4 linked regions of the Caenorhabditis elegans genome follow. The protein of the gene in region 3 purifies or fractionates together with the protein of the main gene of each other region. This does not show direct contact. Each region holds a gene or a part of one and is shown on either strand. Other genes may lie near its edges.

Evidence for each region.
Region 1: the proteins of cpn-1 (region 3) and F33H2.6 fractionate together in Caenorhabditis elegans (co-fractionation; one large-scale study listed by BioGRID). This does not show direct contact.
Region 2: the proteins of cpn-1 (region 3) and cyn-3 fractionate together in Caenorhabditis elegans (co-fractionation; one large-scale study listed by BioGRID). This does not show direct contact.
Region 4: the proteins of cpn-1 (region 3) and unc-60 fractionate together in Caenorhabditis elegans (co-fractionation; one large-scale study listed by BioGRID). This does not show direct contact.

The regions. Positions count from the first base shown.
Region 1 is NC_003279.8:15,012,568-15,019,984, forward strand, and holds F33H2.6 (Regulator of microtubule dynamics protein 1), read right to left. Parts: upstream 4,029-7,417; 5' UTR 4,013-4,028; coding exon 3,744-4,012; intron 3,685-3,743; coding exon 3,508-3,684; intron 3,352-3,507; coding exon 3,215-3,351; intron 2,854-3,214; coding exon 2,723-2,853; intron 2,547-2,722; coding exon 2,355-2,546; 3' UTR 2,287-2,354; downstream 1-2,286. Other genes in the region: pole-1 (DNA polymerase epsilon catalytic subunit), read right to left, coding at 1-152, 201-531, 584-1,222, 1,267-1,307; dog-1 (Helicase ATP-binding domain-containing protein), read right to left, coding at 4,906-5,134, 5,950-6,405, 6,663-6,751, 7,189-7,353.
Region 2 is NC_003283.11:15,186,886-15,193,251, forward strand, and holds cyn-3 (Peptidyl-prolyl cis-trans isomerase 3), read left to right. Parts: upstream 1-3,041; 5' UTR 3,042-3,066; coding exon 3,067-3,135; intron 3,136-3,185; coding exon 3,186-3,437; intron 3,438-3,747; coding exon 3,748-3,948; 3' UTR 3,949-4,041; downstream 4,042-6,366. Other genes in the region: cyn-7 (Peptidyl-prolyl cis-trans isomerase 7), read right to left, coding at 107-358, 407-475; bath-36 (BTB and MATH domain-containing protein 36), read left to right, coding at 1,589-1,695, 1,756-2,327, 2,377-2,660; Y75B12B.11 (DUF7808 domain-containing protein), read left to right, coding at 4,424-4,493, 4,545-4,628, 4,677-4,773, 4,828-4,951; plc-2 (Phosphoinositide phospholipase C), read left to right, coding at 5,838-5,900, 5,992-6,090. UniProt on the Caenorhabditis elegans protein: Catalyzes the cis-trans isomerization of proline imidic peptide bonds in oligopeptides. Plays a role in protein folding, transport and assembly.
Region 3 is NC_003279.8:8,633,724-8,640,196, reverse strand, and holds cpn-1 (Calponin-homology (CH) domain-containing protein), read left to right. Parts: upstream 1-3,070; 5' UTR 3,071-3,073; coding exon 3,074-3,193; intron 3,194-3,321; coding exon 3,322-3,537; intron 3,538-3,581; coding exon 3,582-3,824; 3' UTR 3,825-4,074; downstream 4,075-6,473. Other genes in the region: mfap-1 (Microfibrillar-associated protein 1), read left to right, coding at 1-119, 174-963, 1,094-1,366, 1,420-1,599; ces-1 (C2H2-type domain-containing protein), read right to left, coding at 4,153-4,238, 4,293-4,477, 5,241-5,320, 5,421-5,502, 5,554-5,857, 6,173-6,248.
Region 4 is NC_003283.11:1,471,946-1,481,732, reverse strand, and holds unc-60 (Actin-depolymerizing factor 2), read right to left. Parts: upstream 6,648-9,787; 5' UTR 6,595-6,647; coding exon 6,592-6,594; intron 6,422-6,591; coding exon of another isoform or gene 6,326-6,421; intron 6,173-6,325; coding exon of another isoform or gene 5,946-6,172; intron 5,893-5,945; coding exon of another isoform or gene 5,793-5,892; intron 5,733-5,792; coding exon of another isoform or gene 5,661-5,732; exon of another isoform or gene 4,949-5,660; intron 4,852-4,948; coding exon 4,765-4,851; intron 4,395-4,764; coding exon 4,282-4,394; intron 3,783-4,281; coding exon 3,696-3,782; intron 2,531-3,695; coding exon 2,362-2,530; 3' UTR 2,157-2,361; downstream 1-2,156. Other genes in the region: F53E2.2 (Actin-depolymerizing factor 1, isoforms a/b), read right to left, coding at 5,661-5,732, 5,793-5,892, 5,946-6,172, 6,326-6,421, 6,592-6,594. UniProt on the Caenorhabditis elegans protein: Depolymerizes growing actin filaments in muscle cells; required for the assembly of actin filaments into the functional contractile myofilament lattice of muscle.

The sequences.
Region 1 (7,417 bases), 6.4 Mb from region 3:
TGAATACAATTTCGTGATTTGTACTCATCGGCGGAATCCTTAGAAAATCCGATTTCCCTTTCCATATTGAATCCGCGGATCTTGGCACGAGCTTCTACGAATGGCCAATCGAAGAAATCTCCATTGTAGGTGACAACAATATTTGGACGAACCTGCAAGAAAATGATTCTAATCAAATTCAGTTTAAAAGTAGAATTTACCTGCAAAAAATGATCGAAAAATTTCCGAATCAGAGCAGCTTCGTCCTTCTCATTCCAGACTGTGAATTCTCCTATGTACTCGGCTTTCGGTGTGTATTCGAACGCATTAATATCAGCCGACACGATTTCTCGGTTGATAATCAAAAATCCACGTCCATCAACCATATATGATATCATCATAATTTCATCGCTCTCACGATCCGGAAATTTCAACGGAAGTTTCGTTGTTTCAATGTCAAAGGCGAGAACTTTCGGCTTTGCGTGGAACAAGGGCAAATCTTTTCGCTTTATTGTTGGAACACGGTTCGGGCCAATTCCTTTCACATCGTACCTGGAAATTTATAAATTTAGAATTTAAAAAAGAAGAAAAGGATGATTCCAACCATAATCCGACGAAGATCTTTTCATCGATGGAAACTCTCATGTGAAAAGGCACGTCGTATTCTCTGATATCAACAATTTGATTCAAGATGTCACCATTCAACTGTTGATCCTTACTATCTCCTCCTTTTCCACTCAGATTCCTCGCCAAATAGTCAGCGTACGCCGACTCTTTTTTGATGCGATCTGTGTTTTTCCGCACCAGCGGCATTAATTCCTTACGGATTTTTATCAATTCCACGGTGCTGGTGAATGAGAGTTTGATATATGTCTTCTTCAACCCAGAAAGATGATCTTTCAAATCTAAATCCTCCCGATCCATATGTTCAACTGCTGTCTGGGCTCCGTACTTCTTGGACAGATAACTGGATACTTGGAATTCAAATCCATCCAACGTGGCAATATAGAAATACGGTCGAAATGGGTAACTGATTTTGAAGCGTTCGTCCATATCACTGATGAAGAAATAGTCAACGACCGAAATAATAACTTTGGTTTGCTCGTCGACAAGCTCCGAAGGTTGGATGTTTATCAGAAATCCTTTTTTCTCCTGTAGTCCTGTGTATCTAGAGAAACCAAGCTTCGCATCAATCTCATCATTTGATCTGATCAGGGCAAGCCGCTCTTTGTAGTTTGAATCACTAAAAAAAGAAGATTTTATACTTTCTCCATTCTTGAAACAAACTTTTCGACCGCCTGTGCAAGAATGTCATCCTTGGAGCTCATTGAGCTTGCTGGCGATGACCGAACTTGTCTGAAAATACTGAAAATCAAATAACTAAAGAAAAAACTAGATAAAATGGCAAATTTAAGTTAATTTCATGGGAAATCGAGTTTAAAATGCAAGATTTCGCGCGCTCGGCCAGAGGACGAGTTGGGTGGAATTCTAGGCCACCAGATCATAAAATGGAGGGAAGGAGCAGAATTTGAATTTTAAAGCAATACAATTGAATTTCCGAGAGGCACCACGGAGGCACCACGTTTTCAAGATTTGTTCAAAAACAAGATCTACGAAAACAAGATCCACCAAAACAAAATCTACCTTTTCAAGATCTACCAAAACAAGATCTACGTTTTCAGGATCTGGCACCGTGCCAACTGCGGTTTTCTCTACGCGTGCGTACGCGTGTTGCGTAAATTCTAGAAGAAAATTTCAAAAAATATTCGTTTGAACGCTAAACAACACGCGAACGTAACATCGGAGCATCGTTGTTTCGTTTTCTTCGAGAAAACCGCAGTTGGCACGGTGCCAGATCCTGAAAACGTAGATCTTGTTTTGGTGGATCTTGTTTTCGTAGATCTTGTTTTTGAACAGATCTTGAAAACGTGGTGCCTCGCACCACGGTATCAAGATCTGGTAAAATTCCGGATCTCCGTTTTCCGGATCTACCATTTCCGGATCTACGTTTTCCGGATCTGGCCAACTCTTAAAACGCTATTTTTCTCGGAGAAAAACGTGACAACGATGCTCCGTTGTTAAGCGTCGCGTGTTGTTAAGCGTTTCTTCTAGAAGAAATTTTCAAAAAACAACGTGCGTCGAGTGAATAAAAAAGCGTTTTGTGGGTTGGCACGGTGCTAGATTCGGAAAACGTAGATCCGGAAATCGTATTTCCGGAAAACGTAGATCCGGAATTTCACCAGATCTTGAAACCGTGGTGCCTCATTTCCGACAATATTATTTAGCTGACATTAGACAATTATTAAATTCAAATAAATATTTTTATTCTGTTAAAAATTACAACAATCATCTTACAAATACATATTTTTCACAATCTAAACAACTTCAGTATCCTTGACTCCATATTTCTTCAGTTTCTCGTATGCTTTCTTATGAATAACCGCGTCATCAGAAGTCACAACTGGCATTTTGAATGATTGTTTGAATGCATCAAGTGCTTCGGCTTTTTGTCCTAGTTGTTCGTACACTTCGCCAATGTAGTAGGTATTCGTACTGTAGAATCCGGGCTGAAAATTTGAATTTAACTATAATGATCTGAATTTTTCGTGGCACTATTTACTTCCCAAGTGGAGGAAAATGTTCAAAGTGTAAAAAAATTTGGTCGACAACTTTTCATTTTTGTATGTTTTTGATTGACTATGAGAGATTCACTAAAAGTGTTTGAATTCTGATATTTTTTTACCGAAATCTGTTCAGCCTTTAGGAAATAGTGTAGAGCCTCCTGATATGTGGATGCTGGTGGAGTTGCGAAAATAGCTTTGGCCACCATTCGAGTCGCGTAACCCATATTGGCGAAGGAAAAGTGCCAGACTCCTGAAATTTGAGGTTTTCTTTTTAATTCTCGAAGCGAAATGCAGAAATATCTAAAAAAAATAATGGTTAAGCACCGCCCGCCCCCGTTGATTGAACGGTGAGCTGTAGAGCTTTAATTCGGAATAAACACGGGGTGTCAGAAAGTCTCATTGCGGTTTGATCTACAAAAAATGCGGGAATTTTTTCCCAGAAAATTTGTGACGTAAGCACACTGTTAACCATGCGAAATCAGTTGAGATGTCTACGTCTCACCTCCCGCATGTTTCGTAGATCAAAGCGAAAAGGGACCGTCTGACTCCACGTGAATAAATTCTAACATGATTTTTCTTTTTTTTTCTCTGTTCAATCCGGAATCCCTTACCCAAAATATGCCACGTTGTTGGATCGTTCTCGAAAATCGATAACGCCTTCTCTAAATGTTTCCGCACTTGGAATGATTTTTCGATTCTCGATTTGTTTCCCTCGATCTCTCCAACGTAATCCAGTAGAATGGCATACCTAAAGATAGCCATGTGGCATAGAAAATGCTAAAACTCAGCCGCCAAAAAAGGCAGGTGCTCAGTTTTCGATTTCCACCCTCAGTCATAGTTTTTTTTTCTCGCAAAATTGTGTTGTTCTACCCGGAATAAATAGCGTTTTAACTCCAAATCGTACCATTTATGTGCTCCAAAGCATCCATTCTTTGGCTCATTGTCAAGAGCTTTTTTCACAATTCCATAGGCTTCCAAAATGAGCTCTTTTCGTTGATTTTGATCTTTTGAGAGTTTTCCTTTCTCACAAACCACACGTGCCAGACGCCATAGAAGCTCGGAGCAATTGGAATTTTCAAATCTTAAAAATTGGAAAGAAAAGTTAAAATGGACATTTCTAAAAGTTAATTGAAAATTCACTTTTTCAAAATATTATAACAATTATCGATTAGATAATTATCATAAAGTTCATCCGAATTTCGAACAATTAAATCGAAATTTTTCGGTTTTCCATCAATTAATTGTCCATTTCCTGAGTCCAAATTCTTGTTCTCTTCAGTTTTTCCAAAAAATGCGATTCCAAGCGAGGTTCCACCAGTGATTGCAATTAATTTCGGAAGTTTTGGAGAAGATGTCGGGCGGCGAGAGAAATTCGAAATAAAACGGAGATTGAATACTCGTTTGAACATTTTTTTTCTTCAGAGGCTGCAAAAATTAGACAATTTTAAATAAATTATAAATATTGAAACAAAAATATATTATTAATTTCGATGGCCTTTTTCCAAGTACATAGGTAATTTTTCAAAAAACTCATACTCAAAGACGCATTCACTGAATTATTCCAACCCCCTAATTCCGAATATCTTTAAATTTTTTAAACTAAAAAAGCCTTAAATTTATCGTTTTTTTTTTCGAAAATTCGGATTTTCATCGAGTTGTGATTTGGATATAATAAAATGTTCAATTGACACGGAAAAAACAATTTTCCAAATAATAACCAAAAAAAAAGTTTTTGAAAAAACATGACAGATGGTGAAAAATCCCGTAAATCGACACAGCACGGTGCGCCCCAATGAGACTGCCTCTGGCGCGTTAAGTTTTGGGTGCGAGATTTCAAGCTGAAATATTAAATCCGAGAAGTTTTTTTTTAATTTCACAAAGATATTCGGAAAGAGTCATACGCCAAAACCTTTTTCGAACAAAATGAAAATTTGAAAATTAATTTTGAACACTCGAAAGGGAAAAATTTTGCGTTCAAACTGGTTCCAGGCAAGTTTTAGAAAAATTCTCGTAGGCTACTGAGAACGCTATAATGTTGTCAGCATTTCACAGTTCAAAGTACAAGTGGTGTAAAGGTAAACACTGATAAGTGATAATGAGAGAAGAGAGAAAAAGTTCGGCCAAGCTTTATGAAAATCGATTTGAAAAAAGGGGTAAAAACAATGCATTAGGGAGATTCTAACTTTTAAAAAAGACGTCTAAAAATTGTTTAAGAAAATGAGGAAAAATCATAAATTTTACACGTAAAAAAGATAAGGGGCGGGGGTTTTAATCGAAAAAAAAAAGTTAGAAAAAGTTTAATTCATTCACAAAAATTCTCTTTTTTTGCTTTCTCAACAGCGTGTCGACGCTGGATGAATTCGCGAAAATTCGCATTAAATTCTTTAAAACTCGGATAGCTTTTCAGTTGAGCACGAATCCATTTTGAGACACGAGCAGACGAGGCTCCGCCCACAAGATTTCCAGTTTGACGTTCTAGGCGTTCATCGATCATTAGCATTGCTCCCCAGTCGTTTTTGTGCCGGAGACATCTGAAGATTTAATGAATTTTAGATTGTAGTGAAATTTGGCCAGATGGTTTTTCTACTGATTCCCTTATTTCACGTGATATTATAGATTTGATATTACGGGAACACTAAATCCTGAGAATGCGTATTTTACAACATATTTGACTCGCAAAATATCTCGCAGCGAAAATTACAGTATTTCTTTAAAAGTAGCGCTTATGCCGATTTACGGGCTCGATTTTATTTTCGAATTTGGACAGTGATATTCAATTTTCCTTCGTTGTTCGTATTGTTTAGTCATTTTTGTACTTAAAAAAATTTTATTCATTAACCAACTGTTTTAATAGAAAAAAACGTGTAATATTGCCTTCATTTTGATGAGGAAACTCCTATTTACAAACGTATTTTTACATTATTTCCCGTCTATTGCAGGTTTTCCAGGTGAAACCCGGCAATAGACGGAAAATAATGTAAAAATACGATTGTATGAGTTTCCTATAAGGCAATATTGGACGTTTTTCATTTAAATATTTTTTTTTAACACAAAAATGACAAAACAATACAGAAAAAAAAAGACAAATTAAATACTGCTGTCAAAATTCGATTAGGAAATTCGAAAATCGAGCCCGTAAATCGACACAAGCACTACGGTAGTCATTTAAAGGATTACTGTAGTCTTCGCTACGAGATATTTTGTGCGTCAAAAATGTTGCGCAAATTTCAGAATTATGTGTTACAGTAGAAAATTGCTGTGTTTTGAACATTTGTAGCATAGCATAACATTTTTTAAATAAAAAAAACGTAGTTTTTATTCCACGCGGCTTTGTATATATATTCACCTTCCCAAAGCCTGATTCAATGCTCGATAGGCCTGCGTGGTATACCACTCATCGCCAGTCAAAATCCCCTTTTCCTTGGAATTCTGATCATTATACAACTTTTTCGCATTCACTTGATCATCCATCGCATTTGGATACGGAATTCCGACAGAAATCACCACACGCGCACGATCATCGGCAAAATCAATGCCCTCGGAAACTTTTCCACGAAAAACGGCAAACATAAGAGATCCGTTGATGTTTGCACCGAATCTAGACGGATCGAAGATCGCCGCATCGAATTGATCCATTACTGATGTTAATTCTGAGGATCTTCGCGGCTCGTAGAGCACAACTTTTTTCATTTCGATTTGTCGCATTGTTGAATTACGGATCATACATTGTTTTAATTGATCTAGAACTCGATAGCTGGGGAGAAAACATAGAATTCCTGCTGGCACGTTACTGCATACATACCTGCAAAAAATGAGCTGATTTCTTAACATTCGAAAATTTTCCAACAATTGGAACATTTTTCAAGGCTTTTGTAACTTTTTATAAAAAATTAGACAAAAACTAAGTTTTCCGATTTGAATTTTCAGAAATTATATTTGTTTTAAACAAGTCTTGATTTAAATAACCTAAACAAAATTTGACATTTTTGTTGAAAATCTATTCATTTTTTTCAAGTCTCTCTGAAAGTAGAAAATTCGAAAAATAATCCGCCAACGTACTTGATAATTGCTCCAAGCTCGCAATAAAATGAAGATTCCGGATCTGACGTGTTGCGGTACGTGCACTGAATGCGATTTCCAAAGGGACCCTGGAATTTTTAAATCAATTAAATTAATAAGGCTTTCCTTTTTATTTTGGTAGTTTTTAGACCGTATTTTCGAAAATAAACCTTGTATGCTAGCCGGAGACTTATAGGACGAATGACATACTTTTTCAATGCTAGCATTAATGCTAAGTAAATTAACATAAATTTGCATCAAAAATTTTAAATCCTAATTCCTGCCTCATTTTGGTTTGATCTTCGAGAAATGAGAAGAGACGCAGACTTTTCAACTGATTTCGCATGATGAAGAGTGTGTTGACGTCACATTTTTCTGGGGTAAAATTCCCGCATGTTTTGTAGATCAGCCTGCAATGAGACTGTCTGACAACACGTGCCCTGTCATCTCTTTAAGAAATAAATTTCATTCGTTCGGTAATTCTCAGGGCACCACACGACGCTACCTAACCAAATGTTTTCCTTACAATTGGCAAAACCGCTGCGAAAATGTTATCCTTATTAATGACTTGATCTCCTTCTACTTGTTGCTTGAATTCCATTCCTAATTCGGTTTTCAAAGTGTCCATTGGGCACAGAGTACCCGATGCGAGGACTATAGAACGTGTTTCGTTGAATGCGTCGAAGAAAGACTGAAATTTCGATTTTCACGCTTGAAATTTAATTTTTGTATTAGTTTTATAGAATTATAGGACT
Region 2 (6,366 bases), on a different chromosome or scaffold from region 3:
AAACAATGAAACTTATCAGCCAGTGGATAACAGTTAAGAAACTAGATAATGCTTCTTTTCTATCAGTTTATGCTGTCTTTCAATCTGGCTAGGCAACATAACTTACCATGGAAAGGACTCCTGGTCCGGTGTGCTTCTCCTTGAAGTTCTCGTCTGGGAACTTCTCTCCGTAGATGGATTCTCCTCCAGTTCCGTTCCCGCGGGTGAAGTCTCCTCCCTGGATCATGAATTCTGGGATGATACGATGGAACTTGGATCCCTTGAAGTGGAGTGGCTTTCCGGACTTTCCGACTCCCTTCTCACCAGTGCAAAGAGCACGGAAGTTCTCAGCGGTTTTTGGAACAATATCGTTGTAGAGCTGAAAATAAGATTTAATTTCATGAAAAAAGATCAGTGTTTTGTTTACCTCCATAACGATACGTCCGGTTGGTTTTCCGGCGATGGTGATGTCGAAGAAGACTCTTGGGCGGCTCATTTTCAGGTAGGGTAATCACTAAAATGCTTGAGTTATAGTTGAGAAATATGTATGAGATAGGTATATCTACAGAGGTGCGGCAAACACGCTCTGCGGTAATAGAGCGGGAATCAATCAAAGTTAAAAATATAAACAAAGCACCATAAGATACAAGGAAGAAGCACACGGATGAGCTATATACTGAAATGGAGTGAATTAGCGCACTAAAACAGAAAATTTTAGGCCCAACTAAATTAATTTTCCTGTTGGGCCTAAAATCTGCCGAAAGACGTGATTCAACAAGGATTAAACGACAGTTGCACATCAAAAAAGTTCTTAAATAATTTTCAATTGATTTTAATTCATTTTAATAAGCGAAACTATAAAAATTCTGACAAAATCAACAAATTAGGCGACGAAAGAGAGAAGAAATGAGCCGTTCGCTTCTAGAATTTTCCGACGTAAACAACAAAGTCCGCAAAAGTGTCTGCGTACCCGACACCCAATCATACGACATGCGCCATATCTGACGACACTTTCGCTGTGTTTCCCGCCTTTTGTCAACACTTTCACCGTGCGCCTGTGTTTTCAAATGATCGTACACAAAACAACAGAACGGCGCCGAAATTGATAACAATTTTTGTAGGCAATAAAAGATTACATTGAAAAACCGGTCATTGATATCAGTTCGATCATCACCACGGTCTTCACGAAAAGAAGGAGAAATATCGAGATGATTTAACATTGAGAAACATTGAGAACATTTTAAATTGCTAAATAGATCACAAATTAATCCAACAGTTTTTCATTTTGTTGAATGCTTTCGAGATCGATTGAGCTAAATATGAAGCTCTGCATGTGACGGGTATCTGCGAAGCGGTTCGTCAAGATTAGCTTTGCTTATCCGCTAAAAAATAATCTTTTCGTACAAGGACAAAATAAAATCTGCACAAAATACATCGTGATGTGCTAAAAATGGTTAATGTGAAAGTCCTAGAAATAGACCAATAAACTTTATAAATTTTGACTGGTCTCGAAGCCATTTAGTGTACTGTAGGTGAGAGCATTGCTCAGCTTAAATTGTTTGTTTCAAATTCTTCTTCATTGTTCAAATTAAATTTATCACAAGATAAAATGTCTGGAAAAGACAATAAAGGATCAATTCGTTTTGAGATTCAAAATTTTTCTGGCTTGGCGAAGGCGACGGAGCACAAACCAGTGCAAATTGGACACGTAGAATGGTTAGTGAATTTTAATGAAACAAAAAATGTTCTAAATTATTTAAAATATTATCTTTTAAGGATTCTTGGAGCATTCACAAGCACTTCCGACGCTACGAACAATGCTAAACATCTCGGAATTCACCTGAAATGCAACGAGGAACTGCGCAGCAACTTGTGGTCCTGCGATGCGTCAATTCGTTTTTCACTTCTGAGACTCAATTCAAACGAGGATGATGACGCGTTTTCGATGGAGTTTCAGCAAAAGTTCGACGACTTGAACAAGATTGTGGTGGTCAACAATTTTAAAAATTGGGAGGAAGCCATCTGCTACGATAATCGATTTGTGCTCGATAAGCATGCCGTTCTTGAAGTCCAAATTACTGTCAACAAGATTGCCGGAATTCATGAGAGGATTATCGAGACTTTCGATCAACCCAAGGAACATCTTACCGATGTTGTGCTGGTGCTTGAAGGAAAACATGTCCATGTTGGCAAGCAAGTGCTCGCAACGAGCTCGCAATTCTTCCAAAAAATGTTCTATTCGAATTTCGCCGAAAAGACACAGGCTGAGATCAAAATCGATGATGTGACCCACTCTGAGTTTATCGATTTGCTCAATGTGATCTACCCCACTCACATGCTCATTAATAGTAAGTTCTTTTTTTTATTTGAGGCTTGGAATTATTAACGGATTTTCAGGTTCCAACGTGTCTCACTTGCTCAAGCTGAGCGATAGATTCGCGGTGCCAAGAGTTCTGGAAAAGGCTGAAACGTTTTTGATTTTGGACCAAAAGACCCACTTGATCGACAAGCTGAAGTTCGCCGAAGTCTACAGACTCTCAAGGCTTCAAAATGCATGCCTTTCGCAATTGGAGACCAGCGAAGATGTTACTGCGTTGAAGCATCACGAAAATTATAAATCTCTCGATCATATAACCTACAATGCGTTGCTTCAGAAGCTCATTGATCTTTTGGAAGATTAGCTCCAAGCTTTGTTGAATTTGTTGTTGATAAATTCTGTTGTTGATTTCAGTTTTCAAAACTGCAGATTATTTTTTGTTAAGGAGAAGGTAAAAATACCGCGAAGAACTGTTAATTTTTGATTGGTTAAAAAACTCAAATTTAAACTACCACCAAAAAGAAGAATGTAAGCACGCTCTGCTGATGAAAGAAAACCTTATTCAAACTTCGCGGTCTCACAAATTATCAACGGAGCGAACATTCTGACCCCGCCCACAAATCGAAATTTCTCTGCCGCTCTCCATTTCGGTCCCATTTTTTGAATTTTCATGCGAATTCACTGTTTTTTATTCAGATTTTTTATCGATTTTCGTTTAAATTATGTAATTTTTATGATTTTTCAGTAATTTCCCTATTCTTGCCTCAACAATGAGCCGCTCAAAGGTCTTTTTCGACATCACCATCGGTGGTAAGGCTTCCGGACGTATCGTCATGGAGGTTTGTGAAATTTTGGCTATTTTCATCTTCAATAAATAAATTTTTTACAGCTTTACGATGACGTTGTCCCAAAGACCGCCGGTAATTTCCGCGCTCTCTGCACCGGAGAAAATGGAATCGGAAAGTCTGGAAAGCCACTCCACTTCAAGGGATCCAAGTTTCATCGCATCATCCCGAACTTCATGATCCAGGGAGGAGACTTCACCCGCGGAAACGGAACTGGAGGAGAATCCATCTACGGAGAGAAGTTCCCAGACGAGAACTTCAAGGAGAAGCACACCGGACCAGGAGTCCTCTCCATGGTAAGCAAATCGTCAGCTGAATCTGTTTGAAGTTCGAGAAAATGTTTTTTTCTGCTCAATTTGGGAAAAATATCACTGTTTGTTCTCCGAAAAGAGGGAAAACTGAAGATTTCTAAATGTTGCTTTTCCGGAAATTGTCGTATCTGTGAGAGACGCAGACATATCTCACAGCACGTTGTGTGTAGGATGGAGTGCTGAGCCGTTGTTAGGAGAAATTGAATGATTTATGAGAAAGAGCAGCTGAATGTATCAGTCTCAAAAAATATCAGAATTTTTGTCTGTCTCGAAAGTAATATTTTCAACATTTCAGGCTAATGCTGGACCAAACACCAACGGATCTCAATTCTTCCTCTGCACCGTCAAGACCGAGTGGCTCGACGGAAAGCACGTCGTTTTCGGACGTGTCGTCGAAGGATTGGACGTCGTGAAGGCTGTCGAATCCAACGGATCCCAATCCGGAAAGCCAGTCAAGGACTGCATGATCGCTGACTGTGGACAACTCAAGGCATAAATTAATTGCACCCGAAATCTCCTTCATCTCTTGATTATATATTTTCAGTATTCAACTAATCCATATTTTTCTCATAAACCTCAGTTATCCCCGATTGTTCCTTTGAAGAAACCCAGGTCTCATTGAGAAAAAAAAAAGAAATCAGCTCAGACGTTGCGCATATTTCCATCTTCTGGCGAAAGGCGCGACGTTGGGTCCCGCCTTTTCAGGCGACATCACAATCCGATCGCCTCGGCCACTGCACAAGTCATCGATCACCGCTGAGGAGTTGAACCCGCGTCTGTTGTTTGAAGACGGCGCGCTTTACCACTGAACCACTCGGTCGCGAATAGTAGTGCGCCGTTGTGTACCTATAAAAGTGTGCGTAGGCAAGCAGAGAGGAATAATGAAGCGGAGAGTTTCAGAACCGGATTTCAGCTTTATCTAATACTTGAATCTACATGCAACATCCATTCAGATTTTAATTCAATCTTTAATGAATCGCATCTACTATTTATTGTCGCTTTTAATTTTTCTAAACACTATAAACTCTCTTTATCAATGGGGTAATTTTTAAAAGATTAAATTTTTTTGAATTGACATTAAAAATTTCTCAGAAAATCGGATTTTAAAATGTGAAAACGCCAACTGCTCTCTTCAAAAAACCGGCGAAGAATTTAAACCTGCAGTTTGTGAGAAAGGTCGTCTTTTTATTTGAATAAACTTTTGAAATCGCAAGAAAAATTCAGATTCTAACGGAAAAATCGCATGTGATATAGAATGTGATAAAGCTGATCGTGACAGTGTTATCTCAAAAAGGCCCACCGATTATCGATATTGCAATAGGTGATCCGATTAAATTAATGTTTACAGTAGTTTCAAAAATTCTATAAATTTAAGGTTTTACACATACAATGCTGAAAAGACTTCCGATGGAAAATATGTGATTTGGAGAAGTGGAAAATGTGCTGAAGCAAATATTACTTTATCTGTTCATTGTGCTTTTGCGGTGTATATGGTCTGAAATAAATAATTTTTCTGGATTTTATTGTATTACGGTACCCGAGAAAGTACGCAAGATGTAGACGTGGCACACCATTCGACGAGCAAATTGGAAAAATTAAATAAAATTGACGACGAGATATTGTATTAGTTCTAAACTCGATCAAGAACATTCTCTTTATTTCGAAATAAAATTACATATGTACTTTTTGGGCTAAAAATAAGTCTCGCCACGACACAGTTTTGTTAAATAACAAAGATGTGCGCCTTTAGAGGGTAATGTAATCTCAAAATTGTATTGTCCCTTTTCTTTAATCAACTTTTTAAAGTTTTCCAAGCGAATTAATAAACTCTATGAAAATTGGAAGGAAATTGCACAGCAAAAATTTAAATTGCAGTACTGTTTGAAGACGCACACTTTTTTGACGAAAACATGTCGTTTTGAGACCGGGCAACGTGATTACCTTATGCCTGCCTGCCTACTGCCTATTTGCTCTAAAACATGTACTTTGGATGTAGGCACGCGTGTAGGCATGAGGTCAGACATATGTACATATTTGTCCTATATTCATTCAAAGACACACTCGATTCATGTTCCCATCTGAAAACCAAAAATCAAATTATTCAAATACATACTATAAAAAATCAAAATACAATTAGTAACCTTTTCTACAACTCACTGGTGACATCACATAAACCTTGACATTTTCTTCTTCATACTGCTCCCCCAATCAAAGAATGCTATCAGTTATCAATCATATGCACCAAACACAAACATTCGTACAGCCAAATTCGCTGCGTCTCTCCTCAAACTCGTACTCTCTCGGGCGTCTGCTGACGACACGGAAAGCTGATTTGGTTGGAAACTGGCCTGGAAAGTGACAAAATTGTCACTTTCCTCCGCCAACATGGCAACGAAACCTACTGACATTTTGCGTGATGGTAAATTGATTTTCTTTAAATATGAGGAGGTGAGGATTTTACATTGTTGTAAAAAAATTACTCTTTGTCAATGGAGCGTATTTGGGTAATCAAAAATATTTAAAATTATGAAATTTTCAGAATTGGACAAGCCGAAATGCCGTTCGTCTTCATGTTGATCCAACACCTTATATTTTGTATTGGAGGTACAAGGATCCTAAAGTTTTCAATACAAAGGAGGTAGGTTGGTGCCCTTAAAACCCCCATAACTATAGAATAGGCGAAGCTGCGAAATAGATTTCAACTATAAAATATTATCCATATTTTTTGAACATTTTGTCAGTTGAAGAAAATTTTTCTTTTGACGGGGGAACGCCACGTGAGGCCATATTCAAATTTATTCAAAAAAATGTTTGAAAATTTGAGAGTTCAAGTTGTAAGTAGGAGGAAAGTTAGAGTAGAAATAAAAAGTAACAATAATCTATTTCTATATTTTATTTCATTTCTACACCTCTT
Region 3 (6,473 bases):
GATAATCGAAGTTTCGGACATTCGCGTCTTCCGACTCTTGGAGCCATTCCAATCAAAAATGAGAAAGGACAAACTGTTATGCAGAAAGTGAAAGTTTCAAGATATGTGGCTGGAAAGGCGTAAGTTTTTTTTCGTTTAATGGTTGAATTAGTCTTTAAAACATTGATTTTCAGACCAGAATATGCTCGTAACTACGACAGTGACAGCAGTGAATCAGACCGAGAGACAGATCGAGATGATGATCGAAGAAGACGTAGACGTCGTGAAAGTAGTGATGAAGAAGATAGAAGACGCCACAGAAGACACGAAGATTATGGTAGACGACGACAGGTGGAGAAGCCAGAAGTTCTTGGAAAAGTAGAGGACGAATCATCTGAAAATGAACAGGAATCTGAAGAAGACGAAGAGAAACAAGAAGAGAGAAGAGAAAGAGCCAGAATGAGAAGATTGGAATTACATGAAAATAACAGAGAAAAAGATGAAGAACAAGAAGACAGTGCTGAATCAGATGAAGAAGATTTTGAAAGAAGACGTCAAATGCTCAGAGATAGAGCTATTAAAAGAGAGGAAGAAATAAAACGAGAAATTAAAGAAGAACTTGAAGAAGATGATGTTGAAGAGGAGGAAGAAGAAGAAAGTAGTGAAGAGGAAGATTCAGATGAAGATGACGATCCAGTTCCAAGATTGAAGCCTATTTTCACAAGAAAGAAGGATCGTATCACTTTGCAAGAAGCCGAGAAGGAGAAAGAAAAAGAAATTCTGAAAAAGATCGAAGACGAAAAAAGAGCTGAAGAACGGAAGAGAGAAAGTGCAAAATTAGTTGAAAAGGTTCTTCAAGAGGAAGAAGCTGCTGAGAAAAGAAAAACAGAAGATCGTGTTGATTTGTCATCTGTTCTAACCGACGATGAAACTGAAAATATGGCATATGAGGCGTGGAAGCTCAGAGAAATGAAACGATTGAAGGTAAATTTTTGCTGCAAAATTTTGAATGTAGATCTTCGAAGTTTTTTTTTTGAGTTTTTTAATAAATTGACATAGAAATTTCTCAAAAAAATTCTCACTATAATATCCGATATCCAATTTTTTTTTGCAGAGAAACCGTGACGAACGTGAAGAAGCCGCACGCGAGAAGGCAGAACTTGACAAGATTCACGCAATGTCCGAGGAAGAACGACTCAAATATCTTCGTTTAAATCCAAAGGTTATCACTAACAAACAGGACAAAGGAAAATACAAGTTCCTTCAAAAATATTTCCATCGTGGAGCTTTCTTCTTGGATGAAGAAGATGAAGTACTCAAGAGAAACTTTGCCGAAGCTACCAACGATGATCAATTTGATAAAACTATTCTGCCGAAAGTTATGCAGGTAAATACTCGTAACTTATTATAGTGATAATTGAACTAAATTATTTATTTCAGGTCAAAAACTTTGGAAAAGCATCTCGAACCAAGTATACGCACTTGACAGAAGAAGATACAACAGATCATCAAGGTGTTTGGGCATCAACGAATCAGTTGAATTCTCAATTCTCCACGAAAAGAGCCGGAGGATCCAGACCAGTTTTTGAGAGACCTGCAACAAAAAAGCGAAAGAACTGAAAAAGCTTGCACATTCCTGAAAATCCCAATTTTTTGTACTTCGATTTCTATTTATTTGTTTTCTAAGAATAAAAAATGTTTCAGAGTAATTGTGCGATTAAAATACACCAGTACAATACGTGTTGCAGTAGCAATTATTCAACGCCAAAGTTCAAAGTTCTCGTCATACCAGCTAATGCAAAGGACAAACACAACTGTGTGTTCGAAACAAAAAAAACCAACAGACGGTTCGTTTCTCCCCTCATTTGGTTTGTGAACCTCTCCTATTCGGACTTTCAAATGTTTTATTGAGAATTCCCATATCGACTCTCGTTTTCATATTTTTCAAATGCATTCAACCTAAACGAGCCGCTCACCATTCGTCCTTGTTTTTTTCTATTCCTTTTCAAGGTTTTCGTCATCATGTTGTGAGGAGTGTGTTGTCGATCGCCACCTTTTCCGATCGGTCGACTCTTGAAAAGTGGTTTTGCGTTTTTAATTAGAAAAGGGTCATTGGCGTGTTTGTATGCATGTTTGCAAAGTGTCCTATTACCGGTACAGAGAGTGTAGATAGTTAGAGAGTGACAGACATCCGGGACCCAATGGGGCGGGACGCGCGGAAGAGACGATTTGTGCCGATTTACGAAATTTTCCTCGTTGTCATCATTTCGTAAATCGACACAAATCGTCTCTTCCGCGCGCCCGCCCCATTGGGTCCCGGATGTCTGTCACTCTCTAACTATCTACACTCTCTGTACCGGTAATATTTCTTTCAAGAAGTAGTTTTCGTTTTCTTTCATTAGTTTTATGTTTTTTATAAACCAGGATATTAGATCGTAGTTTTCTTATTTGAGCTGCAAAATCTCTTTTTGAAAAATTTTTCCATGCTTATGTAGCTTTCATTTTTTTATCGCTCTTTTTAGATTGCGACATAGAACCAAAGTAACTTTATTTTGAGTGCCTCGAGCTCGAGAAAGTTCTAAAAATCTATTTTTACAATGAAATATTAATAATTTGCTGAATTTTATTTAAAACATCTTCTTTTAATGTTGGAGAAAAAGAACAGTATTTTCAAAATCAAACACAAAAATCTAGCGATCACCACAAACTTTTGTTTCGCTATGGGACCCGGTACTGTTGCCTCTTGAATGTTCCTTTAACTACAAAAGACCGCCTGAATTTTAGGAGCGCTCCTGAGCACATTTCTCATATCTTCATTCAAACCGGCAGTTTTCTCCCGAGAGCACTCTTAAATTGTTATTTTTGGGCTATTTTCGATTAAACTCTTCCAATTCTTTTTTATCAAACACCGTTCAATCAAATGTTCCTTATCAAAAACGCAAGACGTAGGCGGAGAACCAAAACTTTGCGATGAGTCAGAAGAATTTCACCATTTTTGGTTAGCGGAGAGTGGAAGAACCTCTTTTGTTTATAAATATTTTTTCTCGTCGTTAACTATACGCTTTTTTTCTTTCAAACTTATTCGTTCTAGAAAATGTCCGCTTTCGCTTCTTCGGATCGCGCTGAAAAGTCTGGAATTGCATTGGAGGCCCAGCAGAAAATCTACGAGAAATACGATAAGAATCTTGCCGGAGAAATTCTTCAATGGGTTCAGGTAATTTTGTGAAACTTTTCAAACGTTTATTGATTCTTGGCAAAGTCATATGTTTACATTGCAAACGAAGAAAATCATACAAATAAGTTATGCTCCTTCTTCGATTCACGATTTGAAACATTTTTCAGAACGTCACTGGCCAATCTTTCGACACCCAAGGAGACGCTGACAACTTGGTCAAGGTTTTTCAAGATGGAAGTCTTCTCTGCACTCTTGCCAATTCTTTGAAACCAGGAAGCGTCAAGAAGGTCAACACATCTGCCATGGCATTCAAGAAAATGGAGAACATCTCTTTCTTCCTGAAGTTTGCTGAGGAGTATGTGCAAAAGTCGGAACTCTTCCAGGTTTGTCCTTTCACTAAACACATTATGACATCAATTGTTTTCAGACTGTTGATCTCTACGAAGGACAGGACCCAAATGCTGTCCTCATCTGTCTCGCTTCTTTGGCACGAAAGTCTGAGAAGAACTTCGGTCGATCTGGTCTCGGACCGAAGGAAGCTCAAGGAGATCGTCGTGAATGGACCGATGAGCAATTGAAAGCTGGACATAACGTGATTGGTCTTCAAATGGGCAGCAACAAAGGGGCAACTGCTTCAGGACTTAACATGGGAAACACCCGCCACATGTAATTTCCAACGTATTCCCTACATTCTCAACCGGTTCTGGTAATCATAACGTGAAATTTTCCTATTCATTTTTTTATATGTCCAAATTATCAAGTGTACTGTAATCGATCTGGAAGCCACGCACTTCTAGAAAATTCAATTCGCTTCTCCAAATTTCATCGGTTCCAACATACAACTCATAATGATTTCCATGTTTTTGTGTAGAATTTTTGTCCAAATTATTTATTGTATTGTAATAAAGCTTGTAAGTAGGCAAATAAGCATTTTACAATATGAGACTAGACGATTTGCAAATGACTAGAAGAGCTTGAGGTCTGGTTGAACATGGATGTCATTTGCACGTTTCCAAATGACGATTTAAATAAGCTCGCAGGGCAAATCGACGACCACATTTATCACATTCGAATCGTTTGTCACCTGGAACAACAAATATTGAAGAACTGTTAGGTGTGAAAATATATGCGTAAATACCTGTATGAGTTAGCATGTGCGCTCGTAAGTTGCTCCGATCAGCAAATGATTTTCCACAATGAGCACAAGAGAAAGGCCGAAGACCTGTGTGAGAACGAAGATGTCCCTGGAGCAGCCAAAGTCTCGAAAATCGTTTCCCGCAAACATTACATTCATGAGAAGCGTTGTGTGTTAAAATGTGCATGCTGAAATTCAGTTTAACTTGTAAAACTAGGAGAAAAAGTTAACGTCCAATCCTAAGTCTCTACTAGATTGTGAACACTTAGCCCCAGCTTTCTGGTTGCTAGTTTCACTACTAATTCCATCGAATTCTTATTATTACCATGTATTATATAATTTCTATTATCCGCCTAACTACAATAGTGTACAATGTGTGTTGACGCAAAGAAATACAGGTACAGGTGGTGATTGCGCAATCGGAAGATTGTCTTCTGATGAGAATAAGGCAGGTGCGAATTGTTGGTGATTAAATAATACGAAGTGAAAGCTTGAGGAGATTAACCTTACAAACGTGGTTTCAATTACATTCTGGATATTATTTGGAAGTAATGATTCTCTATTCTTTGAACTGAGTTAGCTCGATATTTCAAATAAACTCTGGTGTGAAAACGTATTACCTATACGCGAAATATTGCAATTTTGCGCCCAAAGTACTGTACCTGGTCTTTACACGACAATTTTTTGAGAGTACTGTATTTTTCAAACTCTCTCGTTGATGCTCTTTTAAAGGGACACCTTTTTGCATTTAACCAAATTTTTTCGTGTCGAGACCGGGTACCGTATTTTTCAAAAATGACAATATTTTGCGCCTGCGTAATAACCAGATTTAGAATTTTTTCTAAGAAATTCAAAAACTTCACTTCTGAAAGTTATTGACTCGAATTCCTCAGTTTTACACGTTTCTCATTATAAAATACAATAATACTTTTTGAAAAGTAAAGCTCTTACCTTAGTGCAGGCATACTGACGTAGACTCGATCACAATGAGGGCATTGTTTGGCATGTGGACTATCCAAAGCTCTGTGCGTCTGAAATTGTTACTTTCAAAACAAAAGAATTCTCAATCCAGGAACACGAAGGAAGCAATATGTTATGTCATAGCTGTCAGAAAAACACTGTTTTACCTACCTGCTTGTGTCGACTGAGATTGGAAGTTGTTGCGTAGCTTTTCCCACATTTGTCACATACACATCTGTTATGAGAGGATGGTCTGAAAAAAAGTTATACGGGAGTCTTCTTCCGTTTCAATTACTTCACTAACCCTTTTTTATTCAAGCTTCTTCTATCCAAATTTTGAAGTGAATCCAATGTATATCCAGTGGTAGAACATGTTGGAGACGGAGATGAAGATACATCTTCATCGTTTTCCAATTCTAGTTTTGGAACTTTTTGAGAGTTTAGAATATTGTCTATTGAGAATACAGAGGTATTTTGTACAGATGATGGAGATTTCTTCAGATTTTCAGAGGACGTTGACGAACTAGAAGAGGACGAAGTAGATGCAGCTGAAGACTTTTGCATTTGTAGGTGTAGACTCATTAGATGCCATAGTTGGGCTTGAAAATCTGAAAGAAAATTTGGACTAAAAGGTTAAATAAGTATCACCACCGATTGCTCAACATTTGCTCAACTTTGACTGTTTTTATCTCGGTTGTCTCTGGTTTTTTTTAAAACATTGTGGAACAGTAAATATAGGTGTCAGATACATTATTCTTTATATTTTTGTTATTGAACAATTTTTGATAGATCCAAAATAAGAGCTGCCACTTTGGAGCAATGGGGGTGCAAGACTAATAGGAAAAATACAATATTTTGACACAATCTCCAAAACCAAAAAATATTAACGAAATATCAAGAACCTATTAAACTCAATAACTCACCACAATTGCCAATTATGGGGAAATCTACTGGAGGAGCAACAGTTGGTGTTAAACTAATATTCGGGGTAGTTATCATATTCTATCAGAAATGAATCAAGCTGTGAACTACACACAAAATCTGTTGAGCTTAACAAGACTGGGCGTGGTCTTAATGAGACGATCTGATTGGTCGGAGCTCACGAAGAGGCGGAACCACAAGAATTGCTCCAACAAGCTGGTAGACATGCGCAGTAGGTGGTCCCAAGAGGGACACAGGTTATTTTAGAAATATAATGGCTGAGGCGGTTATGGTTGAGTTTAC
Region 4 (9,787 bases), on a different chromosome or scaffold from region 3:
TTAGTCTTAGGCTTCGGGTTAGGCTTAGGCTTAGGCTAAGGCTTAGGCTCAGGCTTATGTTGGGCGTTGGGAGAAAGAGAGAAGAAGGAAATTCCAGAAAATTAAAAAATTCTGAAAAAATGAAAATAAAACAACCAAAATCTGGTAAAATCTCATGTAAAATTGCCCGAAAATTGCCAAAAAAAAAGCAACAGATCCAAACAAAATGACAAAAAGTTTTCCATAACCTAGTTAATCGTGATAAATTAGAATCAAACATATATCGTTTGAAGTTTGGAGGAAAAATAGGTTGCATGTAACACTAGTTTTGCTTCACTGAAAAAACTTTCTGTAATTTTAAAATAGAAGCTGGTAGATATCAAAAAGAATGGACGCAAGGTTGTCATGGCATACGACGTTTTTGAGGAAAACTAGCATGTTTGTATCAAATAAATAAGGTGTCAACCTGGAAAGCATCAAAACTCAATTTGTGAACGATCAAAGCCGATCCAGATGAGAATCGTTAAATGAACAATCACAAAATATATACCAAAGCAAACAAAAGAACTGATACCTCCCCTAGTCATCCCTTTTCGTCACAAGACCCTTTTTTTCTCCCACAAAATTTAACTTTCAATGACCTTTCACCTCAACAAAGCCCTAGAGATCACTAGATCCGGAGAGACTTTGACGAAAAGTCAGCTGTTGTTGTTGGGAATGGGGCTCATGGAAAACGAAAAACGAAAAGATAAAATAAAACTCAATGGGGGGGGGGGACGGATGAAAACTATGTTGTGCTCATCATACGAGCATCACTTGGCCCAGTGCCAGAAAATACTAGGGAAGTAATATAAGATAGCGAGAAAAAAAAATGTTAAGAAATCAAAAATCCGTATTGAAATGGTTGTGTGTGTGTGTGTTGCGAGAGTGTCTGAGCTTTCAATCGGATAAGAAGAAGGCATGTCGGTACACAGAAAAGAGCCGAACTATTGAAAATATGACGGATATTGCGATATGTATTGTTTACTGAAGAGCCGAACGGATAGAGCACGTAACAACTATCTCTGAAAAAAAGTACAGTAGTTCTCGAAATTCATGGTCGTGGAATTACACGGCCAACCATTTTTCAATAGTTTTCTTTGATGAAATAGTCAGGAAGAAATTAGTGTTAGGCTTAGGCTTAGGCCTGGGCTTAGCCATAGGCTAGGTCTTAGGCATAGGTTTAGACTTGGGCTTCTGCTTAAGCATAGGCTTATACTTAGGCTTAGGCTTAGGCTTAGGCTTAGGCATAGGCTCAAGCTTAGGCTTAGGCTTAGAATTAGGCTTAGGCTTAGGCTCAGGCTTAGGCTTTGGCTGGAGGATGACAAGAGAAAAAAGTAAACCCACAAAATGGCAAAAAAAAACCTTGAAATCTACTCAGAAAAAACATCAGATTTATGTGTTCTTCTTAGAAAAAATGATGCAGAAAAACCGCATCTGGAGAACATTTATTTGAAAAGGATTCCCATTATTTTTTGCGAAAAAAAACGAATCTAAAAACAACGGGAAACAAATGGAACGCGATGTTTTTTTCCGTTTTCAGAACACTACGAAAACTGATTTTTGAACAAAACTAAGCCAACTCACGGATTTCTGGCTTCCCTAATAAATTGAAATGGAAGAATTTGCCGAACTAGGCCATTTTGGCTCGGCCATATCTGGGGTAGATTTACGGCGCGTTGCGTGTCGCGTCGTGAGAAATTTTACTTCTAAATGCATTTGTCCGTGTGGAGTACACGACTTTCCCCAGGCGTTGTTTGGCTGGCGATTGTCAATGGAGCGCGAAAAATTCAATGAGGAAGGCCAGAACCCCGTGGGCCAACTCTGTTGGATTTCGAAAAAAAATCGATTTTTAAAAATTATCCAAAGAAAAGAATGTTTCGTGCTGTTCGTTTCAAGTTTCGAAACAAACAAACAAAATTCGAAGAAAAGTAGCATAACTTGTGCTCCTGCTTGTGCTCCGAGAGCCGGTGAGCACAAGTCGAGTGGCATCAGGTCAAAAGTAAAGAGATGCTCTCGGGGGGTGTGTTGTGCTCTATAACATCTGAGGGCTCTTGGGGGCTCTGGAAAAAATGGGTAATTGATTTTATTGTTTTTTGTCGTCTGGACGTCATGGAAAACAACAACTGACATGTTCTGAAGGAACGGATTTATTTATTAAAAGAAAAATATTTTTTTAAAAATTCCAGAGAAAATGGGAAATCAGAATTACAGACAAGAAAAGTCATAATTTAACAAGAAAAAAAAAGTTAAAGGCACATTTTTGACGGGCTTGGATGGTCCGAGAGACTAGTAGTACCAGAAAGAAATTGTAATTTGTGATTGGGATTCAATTGGACAGGCTTAGATTCTTTGGTTGGACATCAGGTCGCTCTTCACGCTCTTCTCGTCGAGGTCCGACATCTCGGAGGCCTGTACTTGGAAGAGGGACTCGAGTCCGAGGGACGCCTTGAGAGCACGGACCGAGGAGGCGTAGAGCATACGTCTGCGGACTGGGGCGTTGTCTGGGCAGCTGAAAATAGGAGTTTGGGAAGTGGAATGTGGAAATACATGGAAATTTTTTTAAAGAGATTCTTGTTAATGGCCGACATTTTGGTGGCCGAGTTTTTCTAGTTGATGGCCGAGGTTTCCTAGTTGATGGCCGAGGTTTTCTAGTTGATGACCGAGGTTTTCTAGTTGATGGCCGACATTTTGATGGTCGAGTTTTTCTAGTTGATGGCCGACTTTTTGGTGGCCGAGTTTTCCTAGTTGATAGCCGAGGTTTTTTAGTTGGTGGCCGACTTTTTGGTGGCCGACTTTTTCTAGTTAATGGCCGACTTTTTGATGGCCGAGGTTTTCTAGTTGATGGTCGAGTTTTCTAGTTGATGGCCGTGTTTTCCTAGTTGATGGGCGACTTTTTGGTGGCCGAGGATTTCTAGTTGATGGCCCACTTTTTCTTGTTGATGGCCGATTTTTTGGTGGCCGAGTTTTCCTAGTTGATAGCCGAGTTTTTCTAGTTGCTGGTCGAGTATTTCTAGTTGATGGCCGAGTTTTCCTAGTTGATGGCCGAGTTTCTCTAGTTTATGACCGACTTTTCCTTGTTGATGGCCGACTTTTTGATGGCCCAGGTTTTCTAGTTGATGGCCGAGTTTTCTAGTTGATGGCCGAGGTTTCCTAGTTGATGGCCGGTTTTTTGGTGGCCGAATTTTTCTAGTTTATGGCCGACTTTTTGGTGGCCGAGGCTTCCTAGTTGATGGCCGACTTTTCCAACGAGAATTTCAGTAAATTCGTTCATTTTTATCAACTTTCTTGGTTTTTTGTTTGGACGATTTTCTAGATTTTCCAGACGCGAAATTTTACGCTATCTGGTCTCGACACGACAAATTTTTGTTAAATTCAAACAGGTATGCGCCTTTAAAGAGTACAGTAATTTAAAACATTCGTTGCTGCGAAATTATAGTGTTACCGTTTTTTTAACGCAAAAATGCGGACAATTTCGAGCATTCCGGCTTGATCTACGTAGATCTACAAAAAAAGCCGGAGTAGAGACGCAGAGTTCTCAACTGATTTCTCATGGTTAAGAACGTGCTGACGTCAAATTTTCTTTGGGAAAAAAATCGCGCATTTTTTCTAGATCAAACCGCAATGGGACAGCCTGGCACCACGTGTATGTGTAATATTTCAATGTTGAAACTCACTATTGAACGAAGATGACCTTATTGAGTGTGCTGGTTCCCTCGGCTCCCTGTCTTTGGACAGTAACCTCGACGTCGACGGCAGCATATCTGCAAAAAAGGATGAATTGAATCGAGATTTCCGACGAGTTTTGTTGTTTGATAATTATCCAGACAAGAAATTTTGCGGTTTTTTTGCACCAACTGGTCTCGACACGAAACTTTTTTGTTAAATTCAAAATCATATGTGCCTTTAAAGAGTAATGTAGTTTCAAAATTCCATTGCTGCCAAATTTTCATTAATGTTTCACAGTTTCTTAATATTTATGTGAATTTTTTTCGATAATAAAACATTCCATGGAAACAATAATTTTGAAATTACAGTACTATTTAAAGACGCACACCTTCTTTTCTCTGCATTCATTTAACTAGTAAAAATTAGTCGTGTCGAGACCTAGCACCGTATTTTGGCGCAAAAACACAACTTTTCGCGTAGAATACACGCGACATTTAGGCTCAGACTAAGACTTAGTGTTAGGCTTAGGCTTATTCTTAGGCTTAGGCTTATGCTCAGGTTTAGGCTCAGGCCTAGTCTCAGGCTTAGGCTTACCTGCACTCCTTTCCGTCCTCAACAAGCTTCTTCATCTCCTCAACGAACTCGGCGTACGGAGCATTCTTCTCTCCGACCTTCTCGACGACGATGGCGGTGTCATTTTTGTCAATCTGATTATTTTTTGATTTATTTTTTTTCGATTTATTTATTTTTTAAATTTTTAAAAAATCAAATTTAGAAAATTATTTAATTATTACGGGAACAGAAAACTCTGAAAATGCGTACTGCACAACATATTTGACGCGCAAAATACATCAAATATCTCGTAGCGAAAACTGCAGTAATCCTTTAAATGACTACTGTAGCGCTAGTGTCGATTCACGGAAACCATTTATAAAGAAAATTGCAATAATTGAGCCCGTAAATCGACACAAGAGCTACAGTACTCATTTAAAGAATTACTGTAGTTTTCGCTACGAGATATTTTGCGCGTCAAATGTGTTGTGCAGTACGCATTTTTTTTTTCGCAGAATAACTCACCTTGAAGATGATGTAGCTGTGCTGATGCTTGTTGTGGAGAAGATCGTAGGCGTTCTTGCAGGATGGATCAACTTTGACTCCGGAAGCCTGTACTCAAAGGTGTTTGTAATATTTTTCTGGTTTTTATGTCAATTTTTGTTTCCTTTCAAAATTTTCCACGCGTGTTAAAACAATTGTTAGAAACTCCAAACTTGATTTCATTGTGATAATCTTAAAAAGCACAGCACATGAACGGTTTGGTGGGTGATTCTTCAAGGGGATCGGGCAGGGTGGGAAAAAAGTAAGAAGGGAAATGAATACGCAATAGAAGATTTGAAAAAAAAAGAATGGTGAGGAGATGGAGATTGAGAGTTCCAGTGGGGGAAAGTACACTATATAAATATAGAAAGCTTTACAAGAGAGAGAGAATATAATCGTAAATGAGAAGGGATTTACCACGCATTTCACTAAACAATAAAGATACTGAGAATCTGAGGGGATGTCTCAACTTCTTCATAGTACGGAAGGTTACCCGGCACATTGTATTAAATTAGTGGGCACACACAATCACTTGCCCCCAGGAAAAAAACAATCGTCAATCAGGAAAAAAACAGATAAAAATAGAGGATAAATTAGCAATGTTAAGAGGTGAAAATGTGAAGAAGACGCTTAAGAAACATCATCGAAACACATCGCCGCAGTCATGTTTTCAACGGATGATTCTTTGAGGACACCAAAAAAAATGAACAAGTAGTGAGGTTGGTAAGAAAAAAGCACCACAACAACGCACTAGCACATTCAAAGAGCACACGTGAAAACGATCAGAAATCATCAAGCAATGGAGAAAATGCGACAGACAGAGACGAGAATAATCGAGGATGTGACGGCGACGACGACTTCGGAAGAGACCCGTGTATCTAGTGATCTCCGTATTTCTCGCCCAACTTGTTGAGGAGTTCCTTGTGGCTCATCTCGCTCTCGTCAGACACCTGAAATTTTAATAATTTGATTTTTTTTTTCTAATTGTAAAAATTATCGAGATTTCTCACCTGGAACTGAAGGATTTTGCCGGTTCCGAGAGAAGTCTTGATGGCGGCGGCGGACGAAGCGTACACCATCTTTTTCTTGATAGAAGCACCATCTGGGCAGCTGGAAAAAAAATTAGATGGTACAATAATTCACCAATAGGATCAAGCGCTTACATCTGGAGGAAGATGATCTTGTCCATCTTGCTCGTGCCGGCTCCAACACGACTGCACGTGAACTTGAAGTCGAAAACGGCGTAGCGGCAATCGGTCAGATTATCGGTTCGAGACTTCACGTCCTCGACGAATTTGTCGAAAGCGGCCTTGGAAGAGTCATCATAGTCGTCTCCAGTGATGCCGAGCTGATCCTGAGTCACCGCGGCTTCCACGATCACCTTGTTCTCCTGGAAAATGTTGCAATTTAATAGGGAAATCAATAATGTTCATCTAAAACAATTAATTTGAGGATTTTTCAAATTTTTCAACAAAAAAAACAAAAAGTGGCACGAAATTTTTTTAAATTGATCTGATTCAGATTTTATTTTTTAAAAACTCACGTCGATCTTGAAAATGATGTAGCGGTACTCCTTGCGTCCCTCGGAGAGCTTTTGGAAAGATGTCTGCACATCTGGGTCGACCATGACACCGGAACTCTAGAAAACAGGCACACATAGGTTAGGTTAGGTTAGGCAAAAAGAAGAGAAAACCATTCCATTTTAGTGTGAAATTTTGGAAATTCAATGAAAAAAAAACACGCCAAACATAACATTCCAAATTTCTTTCAATTTAAAAATATTGAAGCGAATTAAAATCTCAAACTCACCATTTTGAGATGTTGTTGTTGGTTTGTGGTGGGGAAATAGAATCAAGTTGAGTTTCCTGCAAGAAAAAATGATTTTAATCAATCAATAATCGAATCACGAGAAGGGAAAAACGATAGTGAAGAAGCTCAACACAAAGAAAAAGTGTAACCCAGATAAGAGTCATAAGGGTCATAAGTGTGAGGTAAATTGGTAAAGTGATGGAAACAGAGAGAGAGAGAGAACAAGAGCCAAGAAAGTCCATTGTGATTGGCACAGAAGCAGGATGAGAAAGACGCAAAAAAAAAGAGACGGGGCCGTCCCTTCGGCCTAACCCCCAGCCCCAACAACACAACCGCCAGTCAGAGTGCTTGCCTGTGCGAGCGCGTCCGCTTAGATAGACGAGGACGAGGGACACGAGGAAAATGAAGAGACGAAGAGATAGAGCGAGATAGTGACAAGTAGAGGAGAGGGAGCGGAGAGAAAATGAAACGGGCAGCAACAGCAGCAGCAGCACCCAGCCCGAATGGTCATCTTTTCCGTCCCCTCCCGGAGAGAGAGAGTGAACGATCTGAAGAGCTGGTAGAGAAGAGAGTGAAGAGAGAAAATAGCGAGAACCGAGCAAACATTCGCCATGTGCAACACACACACCATTGTCCCCCGACCTTACTTGCTCTGCCCGAAATACCAAAAAAAAACAGATACGGACTACCTAGTGGTGAATCCGTTTGCACTTTCTCCCGGGCTTCAGTTTCTAGAAAGTACTGACAAAATTAGAAAAAAGTAGGAATGCACTGCTATTGATCGTATGAATCATCATTCAGCATCGAGGAGTACGTTATATACACTATGGTATCAACTGGGAAGGAGAAAGATTAGAAAACCACCCGTTTTTGTGTTGTACACAACAACGAGGAGGACGACGACGGTGTATGAGTCAGCGCATGGCGGTACGAGAATGACGGAGAGGGTTTGGAACAATTTTTGAATTGTTTCCAGACGTTAAAAATATTGAAAACAACATCGATTTCGGCTTTGAACAAGGGGCAAACGAAAAGGACATACCCGGAGGAGGACACACACACAGTGGAAACAATAGTTGATGAGAGTAATTAGCGAAAGGAACTCGGTGCTACGAGACAGTCGAAGCGTATAATCTCCACTTAGCGTACGCGCAGACAACTACACCGCCCATCTACTACCCCCCCCCCCCCCCCCGACATATTCTCTACTTTCGGGTTATTTCAACATCGGGTGAAAGTTCAGTGAGAAAAAAAACATATCATTTTCCTTGAATTCAAGTCGGAATGAGCATTATTAGCATAGAAGTGTTCAGATGGTTTGCGTGGGCGTAGAGAAAGGGCAAATTGACTGTGAGGGAGCCACCAATTGATCGAGGAACGAACAAAAACGCCAACGACGTGGGAGGAGTCAAAGTCATTAGCAATTGCGAAACAATAAGACACGCTCATTTCAGAAATAAAAAAATGAATTAGTCATCTTGAGAATTATTTTTAGAATCTTTTCTAGTCGCTCAGTATAATAATTTGACAGTGTATTTCAAGACAGTGTTTTTCGTATGCAAAAATATTAAATAGTCCAAGAAAACTCGGACGATTTAATTTAAAAGGGGAGTAGAGTTTGTAGTATTTTGCTTAAATAGACAAAAACTGGTCCAAAATCACCGAATTTCATAATGAGACTTCACAAAAAATTTCCAAAAATTTTTCATGGCCGGCCAAAATTCGAAAAAATGGCCAACTATTGCTAAAATCTGAAATTTCGCACACTTTTCTTTGTCACAGCCGCTGGATTTTAGTTTTTCTGAGATTATCACCCTTTAATCCTTATTTTGGTAATTTATCTCGCGGAAATTCGTTGATTGAGACACTTTTTGAGCCGATGGGCATCCAAAAATGATAAAAATTGTATGCCTATCGGCCTAAAAGTTGTCTCAATCAACGAATTTCCGCGAGATAAATTACCAAATTAAGGATCAAAGGGTGATAATTTCCGAAAAACTAAAATCCAGCGGCTGTGACAAAGAAAAGTTTGAGAAAATTCAGATTTTAGCAAAATTTGGCTCTTTTTTTCGAAATTTTGACCGGCCATAAACATTTTTGGATAATGGACCAGTTTTAGTCGATTTAATTAAAATAGCCACAAACTCTACTTCCCCTTTAAATGGTCTCCCAATAAGCAGCCGAAATATTTGGAAAACTGATGATTAGCTACAAAATTATGAAAAAACGAACGACTGTGAGAATTGTTCAAGGACAGTACGACTGCGTATCTTGTGTTTGAACGATGTGTCACTCACACACTTCTCATGGAGACAGACACATGTATTGATTGTCGTCGCCGGGCTCAGTTCGTCAGACGACGAAGGCCAGTCAAATGGTTTCTCAAAACGAGAGAGGATAGAAGAATCAATTGAGGAATATGTCGAAGTGCCAGATGTTGTAATGTGCGACACACGGAGTCGTTGATCGTCGCATCTTCCGGCACTGCTGCAGTGTCCTCCTCAACTACACTACACAACCGCCGCCGCGACCCCACTTCTCAAGAGTGTCCCCGTCCATCCGGCTGTTGGTGTGCCCAGTCAATAGAGGAAAAATTCAAATGGAGAAAAATAAGGTCGACAACGAGAAATGGATGATGACACATGAAAATTCTGGAATCTAAAACAATACAGAACAAAAGTGATGAATCATATATTTTTCAGACATGAAAGCGATCACAGAACGGGGGAAAATAGACCGAACGAACAGAAAACGTCCCGATGTTGCGCCCAAACGCGACTGATTCATTCAAATGTGACCCAGAGAGCGGTGAAGAAGCGGAGCGCCCGCGCTGCGCGCCGCCTGTCCGTTTCGTTTTTTTTTTTCGTTTTCCCCATCGATTGACACAATGGGCCGTCGCCTTCGTCACTGCCGCTGCTGCGCCTTCTTTCTGAATCGTCGGTCCTTGAAAATTAGGGGGATTTCTAGTATTTCGCAATAGCCATGGGACCCGAACAGAAAAAGTGGAGGTTTCGAAACAGAAACTAAAAAAAAACAATTTGAGGAGACACCGGAAATGAGTGAGACGTGACGAAAGCTGAACATATTCAATGGATTTCAATGATGAATAAAATAAAAAAGTGCAATTTTTTTAGCAATCTGCGAAGATTTCATGAAAAACTCGACAAAAAGCAGAGAGAACGGGAGGAACTAGCAA